Coturnix japonica: one gene and its partner. The protein of the gene in region 1 binds, or shares a complex with, the protein of each later gene. Links are inferred from orthologs where the notes say so. Each region holds a gene or a part of one and is shown on either strand. Other genes may lie near its edges.

Region 1 (4,487 bases):
CCCAGAAAAGCATCATTAGAATCACCATGCAGCAACAAGACAGGCCTTACAAAATTCCTCTGAGGGCCAAGTCAGGACTGTGCTCTGACCTCCGGCTTCTCAAGCTGGGAAAACAGAGCCACCAAGAGCTTCCTCTGTAAGTATCAATTGTGAGGAAGAAAAGCTCTGAAACTAACAGCAGATTTACTCTCCACTGAATCCTCATCAGCCCTGCACAAAGCAGCATCAAGCCGAGCACAAACAGAACCTCCCTGAGCTTCTGGAACCTCTCTAACTTGTGAATGACTGCACTCTGTGGGCAGAGAAAAGAACGTTCTGCAATCTGCTCACTCTGTACCGGGAAGGAATATCCCAAGACTTTGGAAGGCAAAAGGAAAGAAACATTATTGGCTTCCAGTGACCTCTTACGTTAAACAAGGAACCACTAGATATTATCTCTTACACCTATTAGAGTCCAGGGCACATCCCCTAAAGCTACACACGCTAAGAAACAAAGGTGTTCATGCCTGCTTGACTTCAAAAGACACTGTCTGTGTTTCTTCCTCCTCCTCCTCATCTTTGTCCATCTGCTCATAAAACTCATATAAATCAGCTGGGACATCCGGCTTGTTTTGAACATCTGCTTCTTGTGACGTGGATGGACCAAAGCCACTTTCACTGGACTTGGAAATCTGAAAAAGACAGAAAAGACCAAAAGATTCGCTAGAGATGCTCCCCAGGACACTCATTGAAGTGGGGTTCATTAACAGGGCTGACAGGAATGAAAACAACTGCTGACATAACTAACGCACAATAATGATTCCAAGCTACCGAGCAGCTTATCTCATATGAATTCCATCCTTTTAAGACACGCCGCACGTACCGCTGATTTACTTGTGAATGTCTCTGTAATGAGCTCCGTTTCTTCACCTTCGGCATTTCTCAGGCGACAGTCTTTAATAACGTGGTCTTGCAGAAGCTGCTGGATGACATCAGGATGGGTACTTTCCACAAAATACCTACAAGAAAAGGACAAAAACTCCACATCTCTACGAACTAATTGATACAATAACTTACAGAAAAAAGCAGTACGTGCTTAAATCTACAGCCCAGAAGCACTCAAATGTAACAATCTTCCCTCCTTCAACTTAGAACCTTTCCCCCTTGTCCTTCCACTATCTACCCATGCAAAAAGTTGATTTATCTTCTGCTTATAAACTCCTTTTAAACACTGGAAGGCTGTAATGAGCTCTCCCCGCAGCCTTCTCTCCTCCTGACTAAAAAAGCCCAGCTCCTTCAGCCTGTCTTTGGAAGAGAGGTGCTCCAGGCTCCCCAGGGAGGTGCTTGAATCGCCATCCCTGGTTGTGTTTAAGAGCCGTCTAGATGTGGTACTTAGGGATATGATTTAGTGTAGGGTTTTTAGAGTTAGGGTACTGGTTAGGCTGCAGTTGGACTTGATGATCTTCAAGGTCTTTTCCAACCTAGGTAATTCTATGATGGATATCTTTGTTGCCCTGCTCTGGACCCTCTTCAAAAGCTTGATGTCATCCCTGTGTTGGGACTCCAGACCTGGATGTTATGCTTCAGATGGAGCCTTACAAGGACAATCGGCCCCCTCACCCCGCTGGTCACCCTTGATCCATGCAGCCCTTTCTCTTGCAGCCCTGGATATCACTGTCCTTCCAGGCAGCAAACACACGCTGCTGGCTCACGTTATGTTTTTCATCTGCCAGGACCCTGACGTTCTTCTCAGCAGGGCTACTCTCAAGGGTTCTTGGCAGATCTCTTCATTCACACCAACTATGCCAAAAGCAGCTTTTACCTGTTGCGTTTCAGCACCAGCTTCACCTTCCCATAGCTGACCGTACAGAGCTGCAAAAAGACAGCAGCAGTCATTAGGAATAGAACACACCAACATTTATGGAGCTACATACAGCAGAGAAAGGGAAAACGTAAGATAAAAGTCTCTGCTCTCTTATAACAGAATACAGTAAGGTGGTAAAACATTGAGCAAAAGAAAATGTATATAAAACAGCAGTAATGCAGATAGAGCAGAGCGTCAGATGGTGTTACATCAATGCAGACTGACCTTGATGAACTGGATGATCCCCTCTGGCACGCCGGTCTTGCTGAGTTTCTGCAGGTACTCGGTGATGTCGCTGGTCTGCAGGCCCACACTGACGGCAGCGTACAGGGAGTATGCGGTCAGCTTGTACTCGTGGATGTGGGTCGGTCTGCACACGGGCTCAGCAATGGCAACTAGAAAATCCTGGGCGTATTTGTAAACAGGAGAAAAGGCTTCCAGGAAGATATGGCCGTCAGGAGCCTACAGCGACACAACGAGACGCCAGATGAGGATTCTCCTACAAGGTTGTGCTGGGGGCTCCCGTGTTTAGGTGGGGACGTATCACTGTGTTGCGTTCCGCCCCCGCCCCGCACGTACCACCCAGAGCGGCCGCGAGGCGCTGTCAGCCTTGAGCGGCATCTGCAGCCGATAGTCCTTAGCGCCGTACTCGTCCAGCTTAGCGCCGCTGTCCTCCACCTGCTTCCCCGCCGCCGAGGGCACGGCCTCCTGCGAGTCCTTCCCGGGAGCCTCATCCTCCTCCTCCTCGTCGTCCTCGTGGTGCCGCTTCTTGCCCTTCTTCTTGTCTATAGCACACCGCGCCGTTACACGCCCGCTCTCCGCCCGCCGCCCCCCTCCAACCCCTCTCCTCCCGGCCCCGCTTACCCCGCTCCTTCCTGCCCATGGCGGCCGACGGAAACCTCGGCGTCACATCCGCACTAAGGCGGGGAGAGAATAAGGCGGGGAGTGGTAATAAAGACAGAAGGCGGAGCGTGTTGTCCCTACAGCGTGTTTAATTGATCGCTACGTACAACTCGTGTCCGGTTCGGAAATACAAATACATCTTCGAATGGTTTAAAAACGAAAAACTTAAAAAAATATTCTGAACATCAGCCAGCTGAAAATATATTTATCGTCTAAATCATCTCTCAGAGCTTCATAGAGTTCATTACCAGAACGAAACTGCGCGCCCTTAGAAAACAAGGCCGTCGACATGTAGAAATGAAACTGTGGAGTAAGATCAAGATACAGACATAGGGATACAGACATACATAGGGATACATACACACACACAGTTACAGGGCAGGGTTCTGACCCTTATAAGACCAGCTGCCCACCCCAGGCACACACATCCCTCCTTTAAGCTCCTGGTTTGACACCCAATTGCACCAGCAACACCATTATTAACAGCAACACCTCCCAACCCCACACACCCAGCAGTAGTACATTGCACACACACACACACACGGTTCACACACACCCATCGCCAACCGCTCAGTGTAGTAAATCAGTACAAATTAAATAGCTCCAAAAATGTGCAAAAAAGTCAACGCTGATAGAAAAAAACACCTTGGTGTTACATACGTTTTACAAACTGTGCCCGGCATTCAACTGAGTAAAAACATTTACAGTGAGAAACCGATAGATTAAATAGAGGATTTAATGGCTACGTAAAAATGTACAAGAGGAATATACAAATTGGTATCCAGAGCTTCATGGAAACAAAGTCTACGCTCCGACTGCTCTACGGCTCCTCGAGTATTTACAGTGATTCTCCATCGTGTGGCTGTGGGGGGCTGAGGTGACAGGCGAGGCTTCAAGGAACCACCACATCCAAGCACTGAACCCAGGCTGTGAGCTGGGATGGATGGGAAACCAGCACTGGGGACTGACAGCCTAACGCCTGCTCAGCAACATAAAGATAACCCTCGTTTTTAAACCCATGTGAGATAAGCTTTGAGGAAGAGGATGGGCTGTAAGGAAGGGACATGGAAACCTCTGATGTGTTTCCACTTTGGAGTGAAGTATCCTTGTATGTTCCCACAGCGGGCCCTGACCTGCAGCCCTCGTCACTGGACTCAGAGTAAGGACTGAACCATGAGATACAATTTCCATGTGTTTTAATCCAGTTCCTCTCCCCTTAACATAAAGTAAGTTCACAAAAACCTAAAGGTTTAGCCCAAGCGAGGCTGCCAGCACTGCACCTTCAGAGCACACACACGTACCCACTGATAGACTCAACCCACACAGGGGACCCCGTGCAGCCCCAGAGCTGCACCTCGCACAGCCCGGCTCCTCAGTGCTAAAAAGAGAGAGGAGTTCCTTTGTTTCTGACCAAGAGTATTGATCTGGAAGCCAGCTTGGTGGCAGTTCTGCCCCCACGTGGCTGTGGGTGACACCTGGCTCTCATGTCAGGCTGCTTCTCAGCAGCTCGGAGATGCTGTGGCACACAGCAGTGCAAGTCACAGCCCCTTCCTTATGGTGTCCCATACACATCCCAAAGCTCAGGCCTGGCTACAGAAGGCACCAGGTTTAGTCACCCTGCTTACGCGTTTTTTTTTCAGTATACATCAATATGATTAATTTAAATAGAGCTTAAACAAGAAAAACAAAAAACAAACCAAAAACAAACCCCAAACCCTTGATTTTAATGGTGTGTGAGTTC
Region 2 (3,817 bases), on another chromosome or scaffold:
GCCGCGCACGGCGCAGCGCTGCCCCACCACAACACGGCGCTCACAGCCCACATCCCTCACCCCGCGGACAAGGCCGGGCCCGAAGCGCCGCGATCCCGCCCCGCTCCAACCTGAGCTCGGCCTGAGCTCGGCCTCCCTCCAGGGCCAAGGCCTAAAAATGGCGGAGCGAACCGCGCTCTCCGAGCCCCACTCCCGCCTCACACCGCACCCAGCCGAGCTCACCGTCCAGCCGGCGTCTCCCACCGCGCCCTCGCGGCCCCGCCGCTCGGCTCGGCTCGGCTCTTCGGCCCCGGAAGCCGCCGACGCCGCCTCACGATCCCCCGCCGCGGCCGGCCGCCATCTTCCTGCCCCCACCAGCGCCAGGGGCGGCGCATGCGCACCACGATAAGACGCTGAGCGGCAGGGAGGCCGCTCCACAGCCTGCGCATGCGCAATCGGAAGCCGCGCAGCCCTCAGAGCGTCCACCTTGTCCCAGTACAATCAGTGTATTGCAGAGATCTTCATAAATATGACAGAACACAGAAGCTTAATTAGAAATATCTTTTAATATCTTAGAAACATCTTTTTTAATTTACGCTAAGGGGAATAATACAAAACAACTGAGCGTATCAGGGCAGCTTTTGGTGCTCAGCTTCAGTACTGGAAGCTGCGTTTGGTCTGAATATCGTCAAGAATCTGCTGTAATTCCTCATCTTCAAACCGGCCCTCGAGGCTGCAAGGTAAGAACAAGGTGGGTACATTAAAGCTCGTAGGAACAGCCTCCCCTGTTCCCCTCTGAATTCATTTCACACCCATGCAGAGCCTCCTGTTTATGTGACAGAACTCCAACCTTCCCACAGCTCAGTGTGGAATGATTTCAAGTCATTGTACCAAAAGGTCAACCCGGGTGCAGGCCTCATGCTCATAAGCCAGTCCAGATTTGCTATGAAGAATGTGAGCAAAATACCTCAAGTTGTACCAATGGAGGTTTCAATTAGAAAGAATTTCTTCACAGAAGGGGTGGTGAGGTGTTGGAACAGGCTGAGCAGGGAAGTGCTGGTTGCCTTTTGTGGAGGTATTCAACAAACGTTTGTACAACTTAGAAGATTCTATGAAATCTTAGCATACAAGGGGAAAGCTGTACTTCAGATGAGTGTCTCATTCCTCCTCTATCTCAGGGTACGAGGTAACAAATGATGAGACGACACTGGAAGATCTCCCTGCCCCATCTGCACATTGTCCACCCAGCGGTTCAGAGGGACACTGCTGTTTGCTCCAACAACAACCAACAAACGCAGCTGGCTGGGCTGACAGCCCCAGTCTAAGCCACTGCCCAGAGATGTGCTGGAATCCCCACTTCTGGAGACATCCAAGGCCAGGCTCTGAGCAACCTGACCCAGCTGTGGGTGTCCCTGTTCACTGCAGGGGAGTTGGAGCAAATGGCCTTTAATGGTTCCTTCCAACTCCACGATTCCATCACTCTTAATCCAGTAAATGTTATCTAAAGTGCGTTAGGGATATTTAGATTGCTTCACTGTCAGATCAATGGGTAAGTGAAGAAAAACTGAGATGGAAGGTTTTCCCATCAGCAGAGCTGGATTATGGAGGAGGCATCTGTCCATGGGCAGCTTTACATCACAGGGCAGTACACCACACTCCTTTTAGGTATATAAATGCTCACCTGGGAATCAAAGCTTTGGCTTCCTCAGCAGTCTCAGGGCATAAATTGGCTAAACACGCCAGTTCAAACTTATGGAGCTTCTTCTGGAGCAGCAAGCTGTGAGGAAAGCCAACAACAAGACAGATAAGCAAAGCAGCATCAAGGCAAGCAGACAGCACACAACTCTGCTTTTTGACACTGCATCCAAGTTTATGAAGGAAGAAACATTACAACAGTGGATAGGTAAAAAGACAGACACAGCTGTGGGAAGCCCAGGAAACGTCAGTAAATCTCAGCTCCATCGAACAAGGCTGATGTTACGTATCACAGCCCAAAGCCTCGCACCCACCTGCGGACGCTGGCGATGGTCTCCCTGTTCTTGAAGCGGCTGAACCGCGCTGTGTAATTCAGGGTTTTCATGAAGACTTCGGACAGCTCCTGCTCATCCTCCGCGCTCTCGTTCTGCTGCTTGCGATGCTCCAGAAGCATATGGACCTCTGAGTTCAGCAGGGTTTCTGCCGTTTCGAATTCTACGTTGGAACAAGCAAACGTCAGTGTTTAAAACACGGATCCAAACAACAGCACGAGGTGTCGCCGCGCACCTTTGGGGAAGACGAGCTGCGAGGCGTCCTCCTCCACATCCGCAGTGCGCGGGTCGCTGCCGCCCGCCGCCATTGCTCACCCGGAACTGGAAGACATGGCGCCCGGAAGCGCAGCGCTGTGAGTGCCCGGCGCCCAGCAGAGGGAGCGGCGCCTCAGGTGGCTCCAGCTGCGCTGCACGGCGCTGTGAGCACCCAGCGCCTCCATCTTGATGCCTCTGAGGGAACGCAGCGAGTGATGGCTCCAGGAAACAACCCACAGCAGCATTACTTCTGGTGCAGTGTGGTAAATACATGGAGGTGTGTGTGGGAGGAGCATGGATGGCAATAGCAGAACACAATAGAAGTAAGGTTCCCTTCTTTGGCCTACTCAGGAATAATCCATAGACAGCTTAAAGCTTCAGGCAGGCTGGAAATGAGTGGGTTCGTCCTGGCACTGCTAGCAAAGTAGTGTTTGTAGTAGTACTTTCCCTTGGGAACACACATGAAAGTGCCCAACCAGCTTAAGACTTACAGTAATCATCTTAGGCTGCACAATGTCACCCCATGCCCTTAAAGAAATGCAGAAATAAATGGCTGGAGGATTCACTGTGAGGCCACTCCTGCTCTCCTAACGCACATCTGTGCCGGCTGCTGTGCTTCCTGCACCCTGCAGGTGGGTGAGCTCCACCAGGAGCTGCAGGATCAGATCTGAGCTCCTTAATGTTTGTTAACTCCAGACGAGCGTGGCAGAGAAGCGAACTAAAAACGAATTAGCTGAGTGGTACAAACAGAAAGACACTCAGGAAGATAGTGTGGAAATAGAACATCTAGTGAATGAGGCTATTTCAATTACGTTTACAAGAAAACAAGGAAATCATAGAATCATAGGCTGGCTTGGGTTGGAATGGACCTCAAGGATCATAAAGCTCCAACCCCTCCCCCCCCCACCACCACAGGCAGGGCCACCAACCTCCATATCTAATACTAGATGAGGCTGTCCAGGGCCACATCCACATGCCAGATTGATGAGAGAAGCCTTTTAAAATCATTTGGAATCCCAACAGCTTCTCACATACCCTTTCACCTCAGAACATCCTGATCTTCAAGCAGTAGGTAGCTTGCAGTCTTGGTTACAAATTTAACATCTGTTGTTCCCCAGTGATCTCTCCTACTTAAGTACATGAAAACTGAAAGGATTCGGGGAAAGCCACATACCTACAAGAGCATAAAGGTACAGCCAAGGAGGCGGTGGTGGTGGCTAACAGCTCCCTGTCACTGCTGTGCTTGGTTTCAGTCTCAGGTTTTAGACATGAGCTTCTGTTGCATAGTCCAGGGCAGAAAGTGTTGGTTGGGACATCAGTGGTTTATTAAATAGATACTCTACAGCAATTCCTTCCTTCCCTCTGAAAACAGACCCACTAGCAACTTGAGTGCAAAAAAACAGCTATTACACACACACACACACACACACACAAACAACAAAAACAAAACCCCTTTAGCTAAACATCTGTATAGTAAAACATAGGAACATGTAATAAATACATTCCATTATCAGCATTGCTGAATTTTGTAATGTCTTTCCTTCCAGCAGCTCTGG

The links.
Region 2: ERCC3 (region 1) and POLR2D share a complex: the UniProt entries of both Homo sapiens proteins name them as parts of the TBP-based Pol II pre-initiation complex. The link is inferred for Coturnix japonica from reciprocal best matches to the Homo sapiens genes ERCC3 and POLR2D.

Annotation. Positions count from the first base shown.
Region 1 is NC_029522.1:23,171,542-23,176,028, forward strand, and holds the start of ERCC3 (general transcription and DNA repair factor IIH helicase subunit XPB), read right to left. Parts: upstream 2,802-4,487; 5' UTR 2,727-2,801; coding exon 2,708-2,726; intron 2,629-2,707; coding exon 2,423-2,628; intron 2,306-2,422; coding exon 2,069-2,305; intron 1,852-2,068; coding exon 1,802-1,851; intron 999-1,801; coding exon 863-998; intron 672-862; coding exon 507-671; intron 1-506. UniProt on the Homo sapiens protein: ATP-dependent 3'-5' DNA helicase/translocase. Binds dsDNA rather than ssDNA, unzipping it in a translocase rather than classical helicase activity. Component of the general transcription and DNA repair factor IIH (TFIIH) core complex.
Region 2 is NC_029524.1:1,664,390-1,668,206, reverse strand, and holds POLR2D (DNA-directed RNA polymerase II subunit RPB4), read right to left. Parts: upstream 2,370-3,817; 5' UTR 2,315-2,369; coding exon 2,242-2,314; intron 2,170-2,241; coding exon 1,989-2,169; intron 1,757-1,988; coding exon 1,661-1,756; intron 713-1,660; coding exon 634-712; 3' UTR 527-633; downstream 1-526. UniProt on the Homo sapiens protein: Core component of RNA polymerase II (Pol II), a DNA-dependent RNA polymerase which synthesizes mRNA precursors and many functional non-coding RNAs using the four ribonucleoside triphosphates as substrates.